3 linked regions of the Stegostoma tigrinum genome follow. The protein of the gene in region 3 interacts with the protein of the main gene of each other region in a biochemical or structural test. Links are inferred from orthologs where the notes say so. Each region holds a gene or a part of one and is shown on either strand. Other genes may lie near its edges.

Region 1 (7,022 bases), on a different chromosome or scaffold from region 3:
CTGTTCAAAGTGTATATACTGTAAAGTCGAAAAAGAGGAGGCAAGTAATAGTGTTTTCAACTTGAAGATATAAGTTGTAAGATAGTTTGAAATTCCTTGCGCGCAGTCTCAGAATTTTAGCATGTTCACCGTACCCCGAAGAAGCTGGCACTGCAAGTCCCCAGCGCAAAAGATATCAGCCTCAGGGAGCTGTGGATTGCTTCCTTCCTGACAGTGATGTAAGTAGCTTCCTGCTCAATCTGCTTCGGAATCACACCAAGACCTTTACCGACTCGGACAGAACTGCTATTAATAAATACTCTCACATGAATCTCTCTCCACAGACATTATGTTAATTGTGTAACCAGAATCGTCTACTGAAAAAAATTTCTGAGAAGGGTATTCAACGAGAAGTGGTGAATTCAAGGTAGTGGAAGATGTGTAAGCAGGGAAATATGCTAGAAATCAATTCTTAATTCTTTAGGAAATTGCCCAGAGATACACATCTATGCAAAAACAGCAGAAAAATACCTTCTTGTTGTAAAACAAGACACACTTCCCAGCATTTAATGAGTCTAATTTTAACATGTAAGAGTGGGCAGAGTTGGTGGGAACTGGGGGGAGACCAAAATCAATCCACAGTTAAAATAAAGATCATCACTTTCTCACATTGATATTTGGCCTGAGGACAGTTTAGATATACTGCTAGGCATCAAATCTCCTTGTCTCTCTCAGGCCCAACATATGATTGAACAAGTCCACCAATTAAAGAACTAGGTTGTGAGGCTAATGGATCTCAAACATTCCATTGAGGGAGAACATTGCAGGCATCCAGCAGCATTGTCTAAGGGAAGCCTGTTGCTACTTATTGATCATTTCACATGAAGTTTCTCCACAATGTCAAAGTGTGGAATCTTTTCCGTCATTATTACCACACAGTGAACTAAATGACATGCTTAATTGCACCAACAACCATGCTCATCATTTCTTTCACAATCTTTGAGTTAAAGATGTGCGTATACCTTACCGTGAGACTTGACCTTCTAATTCACCCACTTACTTACTTACTTCTGAGAGTTTGGTCTTCCTGCCAAACTGCTATCCTTCAGAACAGCAAAGAGGAAAGCGGATGCAGGAAGTTTATAATCTCCTCACTTCTATTTATTGCGTTGGGAGACAGCATTAAATCATTCACGGCAAACGACTTTCTAACTGCATGCAACACTCTGTGAGCCATGTGCCATTTTGAATAAAGGGGAAAATTTCACTTGCATGCACCAGCTCGTAATACAAACTAACTCAAAGCCATCACTGAAACATTGCAGGACAATCACTTCAGATACTGGGCTCATATGATACTGTAATCTTGATTTCAGCTGCTGGCAAAACCAAAGGAAAATGGGAAACATCTGTATTCTTTATTCTACCCTGGCTGCTGTATTTAAAGGAACAAACTGAATAACAAGTGCTAGATATTAGAGCAGAAATTAATTAGTAGCACTTTCAACAAAGGCAGGTTGAGCAGAACCGTCTTGTTTCCAGCCCTGTCATGGAGGAACTTCAAACTCAAGGGAGCCTGATTTCTATGCCTTCACTGTAGGGTACTACAGTGCACGGGAGCACTGCCTCTATTCAATGCAGGAAAGCTAGCTGCTTGCCCACAGGACTACAAGCTATACCACCAAGGTGGGATCAGGTATATGTTTTGGAAGGTAACCAGCAGAGAATGAGAGCGACAGAGCGCGCGAGAGAGAGAGCGAGAATGAGAGACAGCGGGTGAGAGCAAGAGAGTGCGAGATGAGAGCGAGAGCAAGATGAGAGTCAGCGAGAGTGCAAAAGAGTGCGCGACAGTGAGAGCAAGAGAGAGAGCGTGAGCATGAGTGTGAGCGTGAAAAAGAAAGCGCGACAGTGAGAGCGAGAGAGTGAGTGAGAGCGAGAGCAAGAGAGAGAGAGAGAGAGACAGGTATAGCGGAGAGCAAGCACGAGAGGAAGGTCCCTCCACATCAAGCCACCCCACCTCTCCAACTCGACACACCCAGCCCAGACCCTCCCCATACCAACAGCAAGAATACATACGAGAGGAAGTTGCTCCACGCTGGGGAATGTTTGGCCGCAGGGCTCCTGTGGGTCAAGTGGAGGGAATTTCTGCGGACGCTGTGCCTCCACCGCGGTGGCAGGGCGCGGGACGGCCGACTGATGTTCAGCGAAGGTCTCCTGCTCCCCACCGACACCACCCGGTACAGTTCTGGCTCACCGGGAGGGATGCAAGCTGCTACCGAGCTCCGCTGTGTGCCAGGGAGAGGGATGGTGCTTGATCGCCGCCGCTGAGTCCGTCTCCTGTATTTCCCTTGCAGCCCGTAGGCCGCTTTCCCTGTGTGGACCAACTCGGCAGGGACCAGGTGAGAGGAGTTCCTCCTCAGGCAGCGAGGGGCCCTCAGGAAAGGCTTGGTGTAGACGGGCCTGTAACGCCAGGTCGAACGCTGGAGGGCCTCTGGGGTCCCCGGGGGAGTGCACACACCCGCTTCCTGGTCGCTCCGGCTCCTGCCCGCAGACGAGGACTCCGAGCCTCCAGAAGAGGAGCAGTTGCTGTCAGAGTCATCGGGAGCAGCGCCGGCCCTCAGCCCGCAGCCTGGCTGGGCTGTGCCCTCTTCATCCTCGCTCATCTGAATGAGGCTGGCCAGCAGCACGGAGGGCCCGAGCAGGTGGCTGTCAATGGCCCGCAAATTGCTCCCCGGCTTCTGCTGGACCATGAACCTGGGGTTGAGGTGGAGGGCGGTGGTGCTCGACCTTCGGCGTGGGCCGCTGCTCCTGGCCAGCGCATGGAGGTGGTGGGGGCAGTGCGGCAGCTGCAGGCTGGACCGGCGCCTCTGCACCAACAACGCCGAGGGCATCCCCGCATTCGAGCGGCGCCTGACTTTACTGCCGGGCACCGGGCCTCCCATGCGCCAACCTGCCCGTCGGCACCGACCAGGCAACCTGACCCCTGATGGCGCCTTTGTGAAGTGCCTTTTGAAGAACGTCTCCATCCGTTTTGCAGCTGTTCCTGGGGAGGGGTGGGGGTGGGGGTGGTGGGTTTTGTTGGGTCTGAAAAGAGATGCAGCTCAGTGGTTGGGGGTGGGCGGGGGCGAGAGGCAGTGGGATGGGGTCTCCCGTGGGCTGAGGGCTGTTGAAAAGGCAGAGAAGGAATCAGAACAACATCATCATCGGATCAAGCTCGCTGTGCGACAGACACTTGCCGGAGGAGTGCCAAACAAGACAGTACTCCCCCCCCGCCCCAACCAACCTCCTTTCCTAATGCTCTTCACCCAGCACAGAGTGCCATCCTAGGGCCAGGCCGCTGCTGAGAAAGAATGGACAAGCTTTGCAAATGCCGAACCACAAATGGTGAAAGTTGTGCACCAAGGAGCCCCAAAGCAGCGAGAAATAAACGACACTGCTTGGCTTTCCTGCTCAAATACGCTCTCCCATTTCCTGCAGCATGTTTGCATCAAGCAATCCCAGTGTGTAGGCACACTGAAAAAAACTTCTGTCAGATTCTGAATGGGCCATTGGTACAGTTTAAAGTCTCAATTGCTTCTGGGCACTGAATGCTATTCTTACCACCATATCTGAACACCCGACGCAATAGGGTTCGCTGATGTGCATTTTCATTTAAATCCTGAACAGGTTAGGCTGATGTTGGAAGGGCTGCTGGTGAAGGGCTGCTGTCTGGTTGTATGTGGCGTAGCGCTACAACAAAGCAAGTTAAGGCGAGGCACTTAACCAACATGGTCAAAACTATGAAGGCTTCAGTAAAGCAAATGGGGAGACAGTGAACAAAACATGATGCTCTCCTACTTAGGCTCATTGGGTTCGGGAGGTATTTCATCAGGCAGGATGATAACAGACATGGGTCTGGGTGTGCAAATTCCCACCTCTGCCTCGATTAGGTCTGGGGCAGGAGGGCCATGGACAGGAACCCTCAACTCAGCCCCCCATACTCGACAGTCAACTGAAGACCTTCATCAGTCAATATACATCTATCGTGGAACCTCACTGCACTGTTAGTGTTCACCATGTAGGGAGTACACAAAGCAAACACTGTTAGGATCACTTGCTGGCCAAGGGGTAGATCCTGTCATCCAAAGGCCTGACTGAGGGGCCACCCTGGGAAAGGATCAAGGTTGAGAGCCACTGTCATCCATCACAGCCCCCATCCCATCATCACCCAGCTTTGAACCCGAGAGTCTCAGTGACCCTGGATATCAGGTGGCTGCAGTACCAACAGTGGCCACTCTACTTATCGACCCCACTGAGCAATACACAGCTTCTGGCCTCTGATTGGGTGCCAGGTTTTAGAAGGGGTGTTCTCTCCTTGGGGGGCTGGATTTCCATCCTTGAGGACTGGGGACAAGGACCACCACACTCCAGTTAAGAGGCTGATTAGATGTGTCTTTCTGAAAGGAGGTGACACAGGCCTCTCTGCAGCTCACTGGAAGATGAAATTGCAGTTGGCTCCATTAAATATCTGCCTAACATTCCACTGACATGACCAAAGAACACTCATTTAAGATAAAAGAACCAGTTAGAGATGATCAGAGCTCATTATTATCATTCATTGGAAGATAGGGGGTCAAAGTCCTTCCCTTTCAAGAATTTATACTTGTAATACATGGAAGGAATTAATACTTTCATTTTCAAAGAAAAACTTTGACTGAGGCTGCACAGCTTAAAACTCTTGAGAACACTTTTTTTGATGAACATTAACTAAAGGAATGGTTGTCATTGACAATTCCAGAGAGACAACATCATAGACAGTTACACTGTTCATGTTTGCTGGGGCAGGCCTCTTTAGATTGGGTGGATCAAGCTCTAACAAACAATATTCAGGTACTCAGTGCTTTCCTGCCCTCACTGCCTTTCAGCAAGTGCAGAATCTTGAATTCAGGCAAGATGCTAGAAGCGGCAAGAGTAGGTCCTAAGCCTTTATGGAGTAACTGGGGATGGGCAATAAATGTGTCTGGTTCAGATGACAGAATGGTCATTTTATTCTTTCAGACAATAACAGCAGCCAATACAACCCATGTCTCAGGAGGCAGGAATGAAACAATTGACAGGGCAATGCCTCTTTGGAAAGGCTAGTAACAGAAGATGCGACCATCCCCTTAGTCCAGGGGTGAAGCACATTAACAACTAGATACCAGCCCGAGAAGAAGGCAAAGGAAAGCTTGTACAGAGAGGTATTTTATCTCCTTGTTTTTTTTGCCTCTGGAGGAAGGATGCACAGTCTCAAATTTAGAGTTGGAGGGGTCCAAATGAATCACACAAAGGTAGAGAAAAATATGAAGTCTTCTTTCCCAATAGGTTGTGGGCACAGGACTGAGCAGGAGAGTCAAGGCTGAAGTTACTCATGGCCTTACCCAATAGCAATCTGGGAACAAGCAAACAAGGTAGAAAAAGCTTTGCCTCAACTCAAGCTTCATATTCTAAACTGAACGGCAGCAAAGGCTTGTGGGTTTGTGCGAACACCCTGCTCCTATTGATAACGCTCACAGATCCTCGAGTTTAAAAGGCACCAAACCCAAGCCATACTTTGGGAGATAATAAAGTGTGAAGCTGGATGAACACAGCAGGCCAAGCAGCATCTCAGGAGCACAAAAGCTGACGTTTCGGGCCTAGACCCTTCAACCCATACTTTGGGAGGTTCTGTCTTGACATAGGCTGACAATGTTCCCAAGAATGAGAACTGAAGCCAGAGGGTCAGGCTTTAACATTGACTGGGAGGTCCCTGATACGATATACAGCTGTGTTTCCTCTTAACCACACTGATGTCCAGCATTATGCACACACCAGTGGTTGTGACGTGCCAATCAAACAGGCTGAACCACTCTCATAGGCACCCCCCTGTAGTGAAGGCAGTTCACGGAGTTTGTACAGCAGCTAGTAAAAGTGTGCCATCAATCACCATACCAGGGTCTGTTTGCTGTACCCTAACAACACAAGCTCCAGTTGTCCTAAAGAACATATCTTACACTGCACTCTGTTGCCCAGTGATTCAGTGCTAAATCTCACATTGATCCTTGTTGTGTGGCTCCTTAGTACTTTTACACCCAGTAAGTCAGAGTATTACTTTTTTTTAAAAGCACTCATGTACAGATATGTCCACGTGAAATGCATTGTAGCATTGCTCCTTTAATAGCTGCACACACTCATAATTCTTTAATCTCTTCGCCAACTAACACAGCGAACATTATGGACCCAATTGGCAACCAGGCTACCACTTTGCCTACCAACATGTTATTCACCATGAAGCTGCATGTACTGGATGCACGGCCAGTTCTGACCAAGAGTGACACCAACAGCATGGGCTCAATTTCCACACCAGCTGGGGTTACCATGAAGGACTCTCCTCCTCAACCTGTCCCTTCGCCTGAGGGGTGGTGAAACTCAGGTTAAACCACTACCCGTCCCTCCTGACAATACAGGACCCCAAGGGTCCGGGAGGATTACAGCGACTTGAACCTTGCTGGATGTCCAATCCCAACAGGGCTCATCTGACAGCAACCAGTGGTGCCTGCTACCCCTCTAGTAGCCTGTGGGAGCTAAGAAAAAATGGAGCTCCCTGTTGACTCGGTGGCTGAAGAAAACTGATTCAACAGCAACCGTGCTCAAATTCAGCTTCTGTGACTCAGCTTCTCCCTGTTTGCCCTTCAGCAGAAGCCCAATTCTGCTCTATCAGTAACTTTTCTGCAGTCTTGTTACAGTGCTTCACTGAAAGCACGGTGTCTGCAAACTATGAGGGTTCTGGCATCTGGAGGTTTCAAAAGGCAGAATAAATCTCACAGATAATCTGGAGGCGGGGAAGAGCCAAAGTCCATTACAAATATAATACTACGGTAGCTGTGAAACATCTATGCAAAGGACACTGGAAGCTGCCGCCAATCTGAGAAAAGGTCAGGGCCACGAGGTTTACAATAACGCTCCAGCGTTCCACCTATGCTGAATTACACAAGCCTATTTCGAAACCTTTAAAAGGCATAGTTATAAAGACAACTGTGACAGTG
Region 2 (7,122 bases), on a different chromosome or scaffold from region 3:
GTTTTGGCAGGGAAGAGAGGAGATGAGGGCTGAAGTGCAGGATATGGGTCGGACTCAGTTGAGGGCCCTATCAACTACAGTGCTGGGGATGCTCAGCCGAGGAAGAAAGTGGACATTTTGGAGATTGCCTTATTGAAGTTGGCATCATCGGAACTTTTAAGATGGAGACAGGGGAATTAGAAAATATAATTGAGTCTTTACAGGAGCAGCGTGTGAGAATGAATAGTCAAGGTAACTTTGAGAGTCAGTTTTTTTGTAGTGGATATTGGTGGCCGGTCTATCGCCAGAAATGGAATTGGAGATGTCAGGGGACGGTAGGGAGGAGTCAAAGATGGACCAAGTAAAGGTGAGAACAGGATGGAAATTGGAAATGAAACCAAAATGAAATTTTTCAATTCTGGATGAGAGAGGGAAGGAGCACCCATGATATCATTAATGTCCCAGAGAAAGAATTGTGGGTGAGGATTGGAATAAGGAACGTTCCATGTACCTCGCAAAGAGACAAGTGCGAATACCCAGGGCCACACATTTGGCCTGAAGGAAATTTGAGGAATTAAAAGAGCAGCTGCAGCACACTCTGCGACATCCATAGTTGAGCACCTTAACATCCTCACTCCTAGGTCACAGGCTGAGGGTTCAAATCCTATTCCCAAAGATATTAGCAGAAAGGCACTGCTGACATTGCAGCACATTCTCCAGAAATGTCTGTATTGTTGTAGGGGCTGTTTTTCAAAAAGATATTAAGAGAACAGCAAACAGTGCCTAACAGATCGAAAGAAATTTATTGTACTCAGTGATTTAGGAACTTCTGCAGTCATGAAAAGTGTAAATAAATGCAGGATTTTTTTTTTAACAGCAACAGATACCATCAACCTTAATTTCATACCAGGTCATTACCTATCTGAATGACTGAGCTAGGGTGTGGATTAAAAAGGATATTGTATTTTGGAAACAGTACATTCAATGGCCCTGGGATTTCTGGCTCTATCTCCTCCATCCGAGTATAATCAGCACAGTGATTGTAACTCAGCTAATTGCCTGTCCTCTGCCACTGCACATGAAATAGTGGCTCTCCATCCCTCTCAGTTTGGCCAATTGCTCTCTGGGACAGGACTTCCATCCAGATTGAGATGGAAGTTCTACTCTGAAACAAGAAGCTGCTCCCAGTGTTGTAATTCCCGTACCGAGGGCAGGATACTGATTTACATTTTCAGTCAGATGGGTGGGAAATACACCCCACAAAATCCAAATCATTAACTCATTTCGTTCCACAGATGTTGCCTGACTTGTTGAGTATTTGCAGCATTTTCTATTTTGATTTCAGATTTCCAGCCCACTGAGTTTGTTTCTTTCGGGATATCAGATCTCAATTTCAAAAACACAACTTCTTAAACTCCAAAGGATGCATACTAGCCTTTGAATGTTTGATGTTTGCAATTAAAAGAAAAGATTAGAAAATTTGAATAAAAATTGTAACAAATACATTTAATTTTAAGTACTTCAAAATCTGCCTACAATACAAATCATATTAACTTGTTTGTGGACGATGATCAACAGTCAAAACAATGAGATGAAATACGAAAAATTTATACAGTCATAACAGACAAGTCCAACTCATACGCACAGACCAGACATCCCAATCGGACTTAAGTCAAATTTGCCAACATTCGGCCCATATCCCTCTAAACCAGTCCTACTCATATAGCCATCCAGAAGCCTTTTAAATGTTGTAGTTGTATCATGGTACGATCCAGAAGTGCAAGTTGCATTTAAAACGTATCTATTTCATTTTCCTTTCAATAATAAAAGATGGCAATAAGGAAATACAAAAATCAAATTTAGAAATGAATAAACCATCCATTTGTGATGGAATGGTGCGCCAACTACGCAGCAAATACGGCGATCTAAAAGTCGTGAGGACTGTTAGTCATATTTCGCTGAGAATATTAAGATTTTTTCCCCTTTTGATGATTTCCATTAGTAACAGCAGTGCACCAGTGAGGGAAATGAAAAGAACGGCATTCTCGAACATGAAAGCAATCGCCAGACAATAATTAATGGGTTCGAATTAGCGCCATCACGTTAGGCAGGAACATCGCCTTTCGGAGTGATCGCCGGAGCGGCGAGCTCTTAACCAACGTTTGCGAAGGTGTCACGTTGCTAAGAAAAAGTTGGATGGCCCTTTCAAACAATTCGCCATATCAACGCACCTAAAATTTAAAAGGTGAATGGATTGCAATTCTTTCTCTTTCCACAGAAAGGATTTGAACATCCGTGGGATCCCCCCCCCCCTCACCCCCAGAACGCATTGAGATGTATTTTTAAGATGATTTATTACTGATGGTGTTAATTGTACACGTGAATTCATTCGCTAGGCGACAGAAGTTTGGAAGCCTCTTTAAGCATTCCACGCTGTCGTTATTTGTAAAATCAAAACACGGACTTTAATGTTTAATACGGGTGAGAACGCAGACCTGAAATGTAGCAGCTCCAAATGGTCACTAATAAAACGTCCTAGAACTTTTCACCAACATAGTCACACGATTAACAATGATCGACGGGGACAGGAGACAATACTTAACATGAATCCCATTGAAGCGCCAATGCTCAGAACTATGTGTGATGATTTAATGCACAGGGGTGAGTGAGTGGGTATGAATGTGAAGGGAATGAAAACGCCGTAGAAAGAGGGACTCAACGGGGCGTGAAGCGAGAAGAATGAGAAAGGGGGTGTGCGCATTTCTGGTTTCTTTACCGTTGGAAAGACAAGTTTCCAGATGCTCTCTCCCAAACAGTCCAGGTTAACGCGCCTGCGAGCAGCGTTCCTGCTGCCAGCCCCTGAAACTGAGCGCTTCCCATTGAACACCCGTGAAAACGGACATCCCCCGTCCTCAGGACTCTCCGGGTAATCCGAGCCGGTGGAGCTGAACGATTCGGATGAAATCTTCCTCTCTGACATTCTGATCAATCCCGCACATTAGTCCGAAAAGACGCCCACCCCCGAACTGCTGCTCTGCTCGGCAGCTCCGCACATCTCCCAGCTTTATAGCCGCGATCGCCACAGGAAATTAGTCATCGAGAACGCGCTTTCACTTCACCGCTCGTTTCTCTCGAATCCCAAACAATCACATTCGCTCCTTATGCTTCTCACCGAGAGCAAACATTTTTAAAGCTCATGGTTCTTGTGATCACGTGTTTTCGGACGTCTTTAATGTCGCTGCGGTTAACACGTCCTAAAGGACAACGAGAGCCGCTAACCCAGCTCTCCATCCTGTCTGGGGAAATATTTGCACGTCTCGGTAGTGATACCAAAGACCACATTCACAAACTACCTTCTCTGATCCAAACAAGGACCTTCGAATCAGCTCAATAGTGACACACCTGTTTCCATCTAAAAACACAAAGCAACATTTGGGGTGCTGTTAATAAAAACTTTGCCAAGAAGCAGAACCTTTTCCCCACAAAGCCATAGAGAGGTTGTGCTTCACACTCAGTATTGGAAGAGCAAGCAGTTTCAAATGAGTTTAAGGATAGTCTAAGACTTTAGAGTAGATTTGTGGCTCGGGTTGTGGTTGGTTGGATAGTGTATGAAACAGCTACAAACGGGAGAGGGCACACTGTATCAAATGTCATATACGCACAGCAGAAGGAAATGGTACAGTGGTACCTGACTGGGGTTTCAATCTAGATGGGGGTTGAGGAAGGGTCACCAGAAAAGGTAACTCCGGCTTTTCCATCACACCTGCTGAGCTTTTCCAGCAACTTTGTCCTGATTTACAGCATCCGCATTTTTTTCGGTTTTTCACGGGGTTATCAAGAGCTTGACGGTCGCGATAAAATTATTGTAAATGTGCTGCAGAACTCTTAGGAACTGACGGTTCTTTTTGTCTATCTTAGCTGAATGTCATCCATTGGAGTGGTCTCTAACTGTGACCTCACATGGAGGAGTTCAACAAATATTTTGTCCCAAAAAAACCTGCGGGTACTGGAAATCTGAAACAAAAGCAGAAATTGCTGGAAAAGTTCAGCATATTCGGTGGCATCTGTGGAGCGAAAGCAGTGTTAACTTTTCAGTCCAATGACCCTTCTTCAATTTATTTCCAGTGCTGGATCAGTTAGGTCAGTTCTGGTTTGCAGTACACAGTAATACCAACAGAGTGTGTTCGATTCCTGCATCTGCTGAGGTTACCATGAAAGACTCTCTTTCTCAACCTCTCCCCTTGCATGCTGACTCGGGTTAAACCACTGCCAGTGATCTCCATAGTGAGAGAGCAGTGACTACAGTGACTTTACCTTCTGCTGCAGTGTAGTGCCCAGGGAAATTTTAGTTACCAATGATCAGGCTTATTAGGACCCAATAAGTTATTCCTCAATTGTCTCATTCTTTGTGTAGAGTGGTGTTGCTCCCGTTGGGCTAAGTTATTTTAAAAGAGTGATTTTTTTTCTCATCCTAGAATGTTTATTACAAAAATACCATATAATTCATTGAGAAAATAAGTATGGCATGTGAAGAATTCCTAAAAGGACACCTCTTAAACATTTATCACAAAGTGAGGAGGACCCTGTTAGTTTTAGCTCAATGAATAAGATAAGACAAATGGAGCGTTACTGGGAGAACATCTTGGTAGTAACCATAATCTAATTAGATTTAAAGAGAGTGCAAAATAAAAATAAAAAGAAGTAAACAGCTGGAGGAAAACCAATTTTATTGACTTGAGAAAACATTCATTCAGCACATGCAGACTAGAACAAAGTTTGTCCAAGAAAATGAGAAATGAGCAAGGTAGATGTGAAATACCTGAGGTAAAAACTAAACCTTCCTCTCATTGAGAGGAAGGATGCAACTCTCTGCATGACAAAGGAAACAAAGGTTAACTGGGAAACTGTAAATTGGAATACATCCTAAATTATCAAGGAAAGCTAGGATAAAGGAAGCTCTGACCACAATCTTTCAGTCCTCTGTGCATGTGAGGGGATACCAGATGACTAAAGATTTGCAAATGTTACATCTTTGATCAAAAAAAGCTCAGAGATGGGGCGAGATAAACCTGGTAACAACAGGTCAATGAGGCTAAGGTTGAAGATGGAAAAATTACTGGACGCCTTTGTCAAGGTCAAAATTAATTCTCACTTAGAAATAACATCCAGCATAAATGTGTAAAGGTGAATTGTGCCTGACAAATGTAATTGAGTTATTTGAAATAACGGATATGTTTAATGAAGACAGCAGAGATTGCCATCTGTATCTCTATATTTACGTGTGGACTTTTGACAAAATACATTTGATAAAGTACATTACAGATGTACTTAAAAATAGAAGCTCTAGAACTAAAAGGATGGTGGTAGCTTGGGTGGGTAACTCAGGAACAGAAGGCTGAAATTAATTGTTATCAGATGGTTTTCTGACTGGAGAGAAATAGGTAGTCCCTTGAGAGTCAAAACTGTCCCTCATTTTTGAATATAAACATGTTAGTTTTAAGTAAACGGATTACAGTTTCAACATGACAAGACAGTAAATAATTTGCAAAGCCATTATCCAGAGTTTTTAAAAATGCACCTATATGGAGTCTTCACAAGGAAAGGATACCCAAATAGCATAATCTGCTGTTACCTCTGTGACAGACCACAACATGACCAGACTCACTTATCACCCTACCCAACATCAAGGACATTTCAGAGATGACCTTACAACTACTCAGACCTCTAGGTATCAGTGTAGCCCACAAACCAACAACCAACCCTATGACAGTTACTGACAAATATAAAGGATCCCATACCCAAAACCAGTAAAACCTGTGTAATATACAAAATACCATGCAACGTCGGTTAGAAATGCTACATAGGCCAAACTGGAAGAAAACTTACAAAATTGATTCACGAAAACTTAAACAACTGATACAAAACTGCATACAGACAATGAGGGACACAAAGTCAGCTAGGACAACACATCCAAAATCGCACAAGTCAAACAGAGACACGCGAGGGAATTCCTGGAGGCCTGATATTCTAACCGGAAATCCATCAACAAACACATTGAATTAGAACCTGTGTACAAACCACTGAGAAACAGAACCAGAAGTAGTACCAAGCACACCAAAAAACTGAGGCATATAAATAACAAGTGGAACAGAACATCAATGCCTCACCGGAGGCACACTGTTGATGTTACCTAGTAGGGTGATGAAATGTTTGCAACCAAACCCACCAGCTCGGCAAGCAAACTTACAACCTTATAGTAAATAATATGCAAAATAGCATCAGACTTGACAAGTGCAGAGGGGAAAGCAATGGAGTCATGGTATTATCACTAGGCTAGTAATCCAGAGAGCCACGTAATGTTCAGGGGATGTAGAATTAAATCATTTTAAGAATCTGGATAATGGCCATGAAACATTGGCAGTAGAGCTTATCTCTTTCACTAGTGTCCTCTAGGGAAGGAAACAATGACGTCTTTACCTGGTCTGGCTTATATATGACTTCAGACCTACAACAATGTGGTTGACTTTCATCCAATGATACCCGCATCAGATGAACAAACAAAATGAAGATAAATAGGCAAACACATGGCAAAAGCAATTTAATGTGAACGTTTTGGCAAAAACGCAACATGAAGCAGCAGTGTAATCCAGATGGTACTATTTTGAAAGGAATACAGGATCAGAAGGATTTGGGATACATATAAGCAAATATTTAAAGACAACATTAAGATTGATAAGGTAGTTAAGTATATTCTTAGTATAGCTCACTTAGAAACAGGGACATTAAATACAAAAGCATGAAATTAACACAGGATTTTTACAAATCATTAACTGAATTTCATTTCAAGTGGACAATACTGGGCACCACAATTAAAAAAGTTGTTAAGGCCCTGCAGAGTAGTGTGGAGGTTTCCTAGCATGAAAACAAAAATAAGGAAATTTAGAAATAACAGTGTGGAGCTGGAAGGACACAGCAGGCCAGGCAGCATCTGATGGACAGGAAAGGTTTGGGTCAGGACCCTTGTTCAGATTTCCTACTCCTCTGATGCTGCCTGGCCAGCTGTGTTCCTTCAGCTCCACACTGTGTTATCTCTGACTCCAGCATCAGCAGTTCTTACTTTCTCTGAATAAGGAAATTCAGTTA
Region 3 (7,709 bases):
CCCAACTGAAGGAAAACCCACTGTTTTGAAAATGGGTTTGCAGCATCTGTGCATCGCTGACTAAGCCAACATTTATTGCCCATCCCTTGTTACCCAGACACTACTGTGGGTCCGGAGTCACATATAGGCCAAAGCAGATAAGTATGACAGGTGGGGCTGTCTTTAGCTTTTTATTGTAGGTTTCTATCAAGTTTGTTTTATTCATTCACATGACAAGTGCAATGCAGGTGAGGCCAGCATTTATTGCCCATCTCCAATTGCTCAGAGGGCAGTTAAGAGCTAATCACATTGCTGTGGGCCTGGAGTCACTTGTATGTCAGGCAAGGATGGCAGATTCTTTCCCTAAAGGACATTAAGTGAGCCACATGGGTCTTTCGGGGCAATTGGCGATGGATTCATGGCTATCATTAGAGTATTAATTCCCAATTCTTATTAAATTCAAATGCCACCATCTACCATAGCAGGATTCAATCCCGTGTCTCCCGAACATTACCTGTGTCTCTGGATAAAGCAGTCCAGCCACATTACCACTAGATCGTCACCTCCCCTAATTTACTTTCACCATTTGCCATGGTTGGATTTGAATCCATTAGCCCAGACGATTAGCCTGGCGTTCTGAATTACAAGTGACATTAAAACCATGCTAATACCTCCCACCTAACTAATAAGTTGGTCGTATTTAGATGCTCAGTAACCTAGACTTAACAGTAGAATATCAGTCCAGATCCTAGTTTAAACAAAAAAAGCAAGAAAATCAGGAAAATAAAAGCAGGGGTGAGCAATCTGGAAGAAACTTGTTGGTCTTCCAGGACAAGGAGTTGACCCTGATTGAGTGTTGTAGACTGGCACCTTCCAAGGTGCTGGACTTTGTGCTGAGAGACACACTGAAGCTTGGGGCAGCTGTCACCAAGGTACAGTGGGGAAAGGCCACAGTCTGAGGTCCTCTGCCGAAGGCAAGTCGGGATCCCTTCAGTTATCGGACCCTCTCTGTGCTTCAAACGCACAGTCTTGTCTTGTTCGAGTAAGAGTTTGAGTTGGTTTGTTTGTTAGATAGAGTCAAATTCCAATATTTCTTTGTTTCCTTGATATGCTACGTTGTGGCTAAATGTGTACTTTTTTATGATTAAAGTACATTTTTGAAGAAAAAGAAAATTGCTGTGAAGATGTTGAGTTGATTCACTACTATCCCATAGAATCCTTACAGTGTGGAAACAGGCCATTTGGTCCAACAGCTCTCCAAAGAGCATCCCACCCAGACCCAGCCCCCTACCACTCCCTGTGGCTAATGCACCTGACCTCCTCATCTCTGGACACTACTGGGCCAATCCACCTAACATGTACTTCTTTGGACCGCGGGAGGAAACTGGAGCACCCGGAGGAAACCCACACAGACATGGGGAGAATGTGCAAACTCTGCACAGATAGTTACTGAGGGTGGAACCGAATCCAGGTCCCCAGTGCTGAGGCAGCAGTGTTAAACACTGAACCCACTGTGCTGCCCTTTAGAGGAAGAAATGCCACCTTCACCTGGTTTGGAACTATTAGTTAATCCTGGCCCTCTGTGATTAACTCTCAAGTGCCCCCCAAAGCTATTTGCCACCTTCACAGGGCAATTGCCAGTCACGTATAAATGTGGATTTTTTTTTAATGTCACAGCTGATTGGGCCAGTGATCGCAATGGTTTATTTTAAAAGCTGATACCAGTGACTTTGGGATGTTCCAGGCGCTATATGAATGCAAGCTAATTTATAAACAGATGCGGAGGCGCCTGCAACCAAGTGCACCTCCCAAGCAAAGGGGCCAGCCTTGGGTATTCGATGGGTTAATTACAGCTTGTAGAGCTCTCGCCGGCGCTACTGCAAGCCCAGCGATTATTAATCATGACTGGGCACTTTTAACAAAAAAAATGGCAGAACTCGTAAAGTGATATATAGATAAAAAAAATCCAGACTCCGAACTAATTCGGAGCGGTGAATAAAAGGTAAGCACGAAAAACAAAATCACAGCAAACGCAGAAATTATTGCCACACTCAGAAGTTGTTGCGGAAAGAGCTGAATCCTGAAACTCTGCTTTCATTGCCCATTTCTTTATTTAAAAAGTTAATTTTTGGAACCCCTTCACGGCTCAAAACATCTAATCCCCACCTTGGTCACAAGAGACTGATTCAGACACAAGCGTGGGCTAATCCTGACGTTAAATCGAAAACATTTCTCCTCTCCCTTTTTGGGAAAGGTCGAATGTAACCAAAAAGGTCAAAGTGACCAACTAATGAAACTGTGGCACGTTGAGATTGTGCAGTTTTGCTGTTGACTGGGAATGGGACACGTATGGAATTAGCAAAACAGAGTGCCATCCCATGTCAAATGTCACTGCAAGAAAACACTGCCAACTTTCTGCAAATGGAATTTAAAACGTGCAACTGATTTACAATCAAAAGTACAAAGCAAAACAAAAGCATCACTGAAAATACATTAACTCAAACAGCAAAAAAAAGGGGGGGGTGGGGAAGGAGACGACAGACTTCCCATTCTCTCAGGAGGCAACTGGAAGTACCTTGATGACCCTAACGCTCCGTTTCTTGTTGCTGATAGTTTCGGGGATGTGTTCAGGTAGTTCGGTGAAGGCGTTGCGTACGGCCGTGGATTTGGGGCTGCGGGAGGCGGCTTGGGGACTTTGTGAGCCCGCTCCGTTGGTGAGTCCATTCCAGGAAGCAGTGTGCCCAGGCTGCTCACAGCTCAGGATCAGATTCTCCTGATTCAGGGTGGCCAGCACACGATGCCAGCTGTCCCTGACCAAAACTTCTAACAGTCCACTTCTCTGTACTCTGCCGGCTAACGCCATCTTTGTCGCATTCTTAAAATGCCACTCGGTCCAGAAGTTGATAAAGCTCCGAATGGCTGTAGCCCTTAAGGGGAGATTGGAATTCCTGTTTCTCTCTCCCTCCCTCCACTTCGTTTAGTGCCAAGAAATTCTTAAGCTCGGTTCCTGTTTGAGATGGACAAGTTAGACAACAAAAAAATCTCCACCCACTTTCTGATGTGAACTATAGAGGGTGTGTGTTGGAACTGGGAGGCGTGGAGTGTAACTACATCGCGCTAAAAGTTACATTGTCTTGTGCAGAATAAATGAACCAGTCACTGGTTTAAAGGTGTGGGCCGTCAGGTGTAAATTTCAAATTGAAATTGACCCGGGAAATCCCAGGCTTTAATAGTTGGCTTCACCTCCTGCTTTGAGCGTGAGAGAGATTTTGGGGAGAATAGATTTCTCTAACGATAAGAGCTGTTTCACTCCTTCGATAATCCAAAATACAATTTCACCAGGATCCAAAAGTATTGGCCACACAATGCCTGTCGTGTACAGGCTGTTTCAACTTTTCATCAAAACGGGCTAAAGGGAGAGGTAATGATGCACCTAATCAGAAACACACACGCACAAATCATAGTTTAGCACTTTAATTTAAAAATCCCTGTCTTCAAGCCGAAAAACTTAATCCTGTCAGACCTGCCCCAGATTCCACTCACAGCCCCAACCATAAAAGAGCAGGGAACCTCATTATACCTTGAGCAAATGCTGTTCCTCTGATGAAACGAGGAATACACGAGAACCGGGACGCCATAAGGTACGCACAAATGATTATAAAAACAAGGTTTGTTCCTGCACAATGTGCTGTTCTGTTTGGTAAAGGGAATCCGAAGCCAAGATTATTAAAGAACCAGAGTCCCAGGAAAAGCAGAGTTGTTTGACAGGAAGGGTCACACACCCCTACCAACTACCACAATTTATAATTGCACACATAGCAAACAAGGAGAAATTCCTTAACTGAGCGGGAACCTGTTTTTTGTCTAATGTTAGTTTCTACAGAGAACTACGACACCATGTGGCTTTAAGAGAGAATGCGCCTTACACGATACCCACAGGGTAACAAAGTGTGAAGCTGGATGTACACAGGAGGCGAAGCAGCATCTCAGGAGCACAAAAGCTGACGTTTCGGGCCTAGATCCTTCCGGATGAAGGGTCTAGTCCCGAAACGTCAGATTTTGTGCTCCTGAGATGCTGCTTGGCCTGCTGTGTACATCCAGCTTCACACTTTGTTATCTTGGATTCTCCAGCATCTGCAGTTCCCATTATCTCTGATCGTGATACGGACAGGGTTTATTTTTAATGCAAGAATATGCTTCGAGTGATAGAGCATGACAACAGACCCTACGGCTCAAAGTGGTCCATGGTGCCCCCTCAGCTACTTCCAATTGCCTGCATATTATCCATATCCCTCTAAACCCTTCCCATCCATGCACCTATCCAAATGTTATTTTTAAATATTGCTATTGTATCTGCCACAGCCATCTTCTTGGGCAGCCCATTCCATATACGTACCACTGTCTGCATGAAGAAGTTACCCCTTAGGTCCTTAAAACGTTTCTCTCTCACTTTAAACCTATGCTTAAAGCTATGCTGGGGAAAAGACCAGATGCATTCATCTTATCTGTGCCCCTCAATATTTTATACACCGCAATAAGGTCACCCCGCTCTCTCCTACATTCCAAGATATAAGGTCCTATTTTGGCCAACCTCACCCTATAACTCAGGCCTACTGGTCCTCGTAACATCCTCATAAATCTTCTTTGCATGCTTTCCGCTTTAACTATGTTTTTCCTATAACAGGGTAACTTTATTCACAAAAAAAACCCTTTATGTACATAATTTTGGGCGGAATAGATTTCTCTAATTATAAAAGCTGTTTCACTTCTTCAGTAATCCAAAATACAATTTCACGAGGATCAAAGTATTGGCCACACAATGTGTGTTGTGTACAGGCTGTTTCAACTTTTCATCAAAGCTGGACAAAAGGGAGAGGTAGGGGATAATGATGCACCTAATCAGAAACACACACGCACAAAATAGTTAATTAAAAATAAACCTTGTCTTCAAGCCAAAAAAACAATTCTGTATAGTCTTTGCATATCAAGAAAACCAAACATTGGAACCTGATATTCTCTGCATTTGCAAAACCTAGAGGCATTTCTTATTTCTGCAGGATCGTATTTACATACATCTGAGGCAACAAGAGGGCCTGACAGCTGAACAGACCCACACTGTACTTACGCAGAAAGACCTTAGACAGTGGCCTTTTCCCCATTGCCCCAAGCTTTAGCGCATCCCTCAGCACATAGCCCTGGACCTTGGGATGTTCCAGCCTGCAACACTCGGTCAGGGACAATTTCTTGCACTGGAAGACTAACAAGTTTCTGACAGACAAGAACATCTTTCACCAAGTTGCTGGTCCTCTAGGTGGCATTGATGTTGGTCTCAGACCATAGAGCACAGTGCCCTGTGTCATGGAGCTGCTTGGGACAAACATCGACAAAAGCCACTGCACTTGTCTCTTCACCCCCCTCATCCTGCTGACCACCTTGAATTGATCAGACTTTCCAATACCAACGTTGGTGAATGCTGAGGCATCATTGCTGTTCCACTTTAGGACCCAGCGGAAATCATGACGGGAAGTTACAGCGAGTTTAAATTCCCAATAGGCACATACCTGCTGGTCAGACACTCCACCTTAAACTGAAGTCAGTGTTGGAAACTTTGGGTAGATACGTGGGACTTACCTGGATACTTTCCCTACAATTGTTATCAAGTCACAAACAATGTAACCCAATTCGTCCCAAACCTCCTACACAGAACCCCACACCACTAATCACAACCCCCACACCTAACTTCCCATCCCACAGACCCATTCACTTCCCTGGACCAAAACTGCCCAAACACCTCACCTAACGTGACCACCCTCTTACGCATATGAGGGGAAGTGACAGCCTCCAGAAACACATTTTTTAATGCACAGGGACCTGGATTCAAATCCTGCCACTACAGATGTTGGAATTTAAATTCATTATAAATCTGGAATTAAAAGTCTAACGATGACCATGAATCCATTATCTATTGCCCAGAAAGACCCATCTAGTTTGCTAATGTTTTTAGGGAAGGAAACTGCATCCTTACCTGGTGTGGCCTACATGTGACTCCAGACTTACAGCAATGCAGTTAACTGTCATCTGGGCAATCAGGGATGGGCAATGAATGCTGGCTGAGCTAGTGATATCCAAATCCCATGAATGAATATTAAAAAAAACCCCACTGACTTCAATACTGAGGTTCTTAACCTGGCCACCTCTATCCCAGCTGCACAAACCCTAATATCACTGACCCAGTACATCACTAGACCCTCCGAAACCTGAGTACCCACCTTCACTAATCTGACTGGTCAACACTCACCACACTCTCCCATAATCCCTGATTACCCATCCTCAACACTCACATTGATCTGACAAACTACCCCTCAACTCACATACCATCCCCCCACCCCTTCCTGATTTGACTACCCACTCTTGGCCCGATTACCACTGCCCAATTTCTTGTCCTTACAACCTATTTCATCGGCCTTATTACCATTCCTAGCTCTCAAATGACCCGATTACAGATCCTGAATTCTCAGTATCTCTAGGTAAAGGTGAAGTCTCCATAATCCCACTGAAGCATAGGACTTTAACCTGAGAGTTACCACACCTCGGGAAAGGGGAGAGGTTGAGAGAAGAGTCCTTCATTGGTAACCTTCAGCCAGTACAAGAGTTGACCCATGCCATTGGTGTTACTCTGCACCTGTCCAGCCAACTTAGCTGACCGACCCTCATCCATTTACCCAGCCCATGACCTGACTGCCCACCCCAGGATTAACTACCTTGTCCCAACAACACCCTGACCTGACTACCCACACTCACTGAGTGCACATCCTCAAACCACCTACTGGCCCAAGCACCCAGGCAACGCCCAAAATCTCTGGCGTGACCACCCAGGGAAACTGGCTGCTGTGTTTTCTCCATGACAACAGTCACTACTGAGAGAACTAGATGATTGGTTTACAGTGGTTAATTGGCAACAGACATTATGGCTTCTTCTACAATAGGGAAACTGAATGCAGATCATAAACATTTCAATTCAGTCCATTCAAATGATTTTGAGGTGTCTGTTACCAGTCACTTTAATTCTAAATGCAAACCCTACTCTAGCCAACTGTCTTGGAAAAGTTCAAATTTTTCCGTTTTTGGACTAAATTTTGATTTGGCACTTTTTTTCATCTTGTCATTTCTAGTACTGAAGTAGGTGTTTTCTCTTTTAGTCATCTAGTACTTAGAGTCACAGAATCACGCAGCACTAAAACAGAAGCTTTGGTCCAACTTGTCCACATTGACCATGTTCGCAAACTAAACTAGTCCCACCTGCCAGTGCATGTCCCAAATCCCTCCAAACCCTTTCTAATCATGAATTTATCCAAATGTCTTTTAAAAGTTGTTACTGTACCCACATCCACCACTTTCTCTGGTAGTTCATTCCACATATGAACCACTCTGTGTAAAAAAATTGCCTCGTGTTCTTCTCAAATCTTTCTCCTCTCACCTTAAAAATACACCCCCTAGTTTTGAACTCCCCCTGCCCCCCAGGGGAAAGACACTTGTCATTCACCTTATCTATGTTTTTATAAACTTCAGTAAGGTCAACCTTGACCTCCTATGCTCCAGTCAAAAAAGTCCCAGTAATTCCAGTCTATTTTTATATCTCAAACACTCCATTCCTGCAACATCCTGGTAAATAGTTTCTGATCTCTCTCCAGTTTAATAATATCCTTCCTATAATAGGGAAAATAGGATTG

What was found.
Region 1: the proteins of sntb1 (region 3) and dgkza form a complex in vitro, tested with the Homo sapiens proteins (2 studies listed by BioGRID and IntAct, with this or other methods). The link is inferred for Stegostoma tigrinum from reciprocal best matches to the Homo sapiens genes SNTB1 and DGKZ.
Region 2: the proteins of sntb1 (region 3) and gucy1a2 interact in a test that uses a peptide from one of them, tested with the Homo sapiens proteins (2 studies listed by IntAct, with this or other methods). The link is inferred for Stegostoma tigrinum from reciprocal best matches to the Homo sapiens genes SNTB1 and GUCY1A2.

Annotation. Positions count from the first base shown.
Region 1 is NC_081370.1:1,029,720-1,036,741, reverse strand, and holds the start of dgkza (diacylglycerol kinase zeta), read right to left. Parts: upstream 3,006-7,022; coding exon 2,056-3,005; intron 1-2,055. UniProt on the Homo sapiens protein: Diacylglycerol kinase that converts diacylglycerol/DAG into phosphatidic acid/phosphatidate/PA and regulates the respective levels of these two bioactive lipids.
Region 2 is NC_081359.1:69,654,574-69,661,695, forward strand, and holds the start of gucy1a2 (guanylate cyclase soluble subunit alpha-2), read right to left. Parts: upstream 3,006-7,122; 5' UTR 2,960-3,005; coding exon 2,756-2,959; intron 1-2,755. UniProt on the Homo sapiens protein: Has guanylyl cyclase on binding to the beta-1 subunit. Isoform 2 acts as a negative regulator of guanylyl cyclase activity as it forms non-functional heterodimers with the beta subunits.
Region 3 is NC_081358.1:38,257,675-38,265,383, forward strand, and holds the start of sntb1 (beta-1-syntrophin), read right to left. Parts: upstream 3,040-7,709; 5' UTR 2,843-3,039; coding exon 2,555-2,842; intron 1-2,554. UniProt on the Homo sapiens protein: Adapter protein that binds to and probably organizes the subcellular localization of a variety of membrane proteins. May link various receptors to the actin cytoskeleton and the dystrophin glycoprotein complex.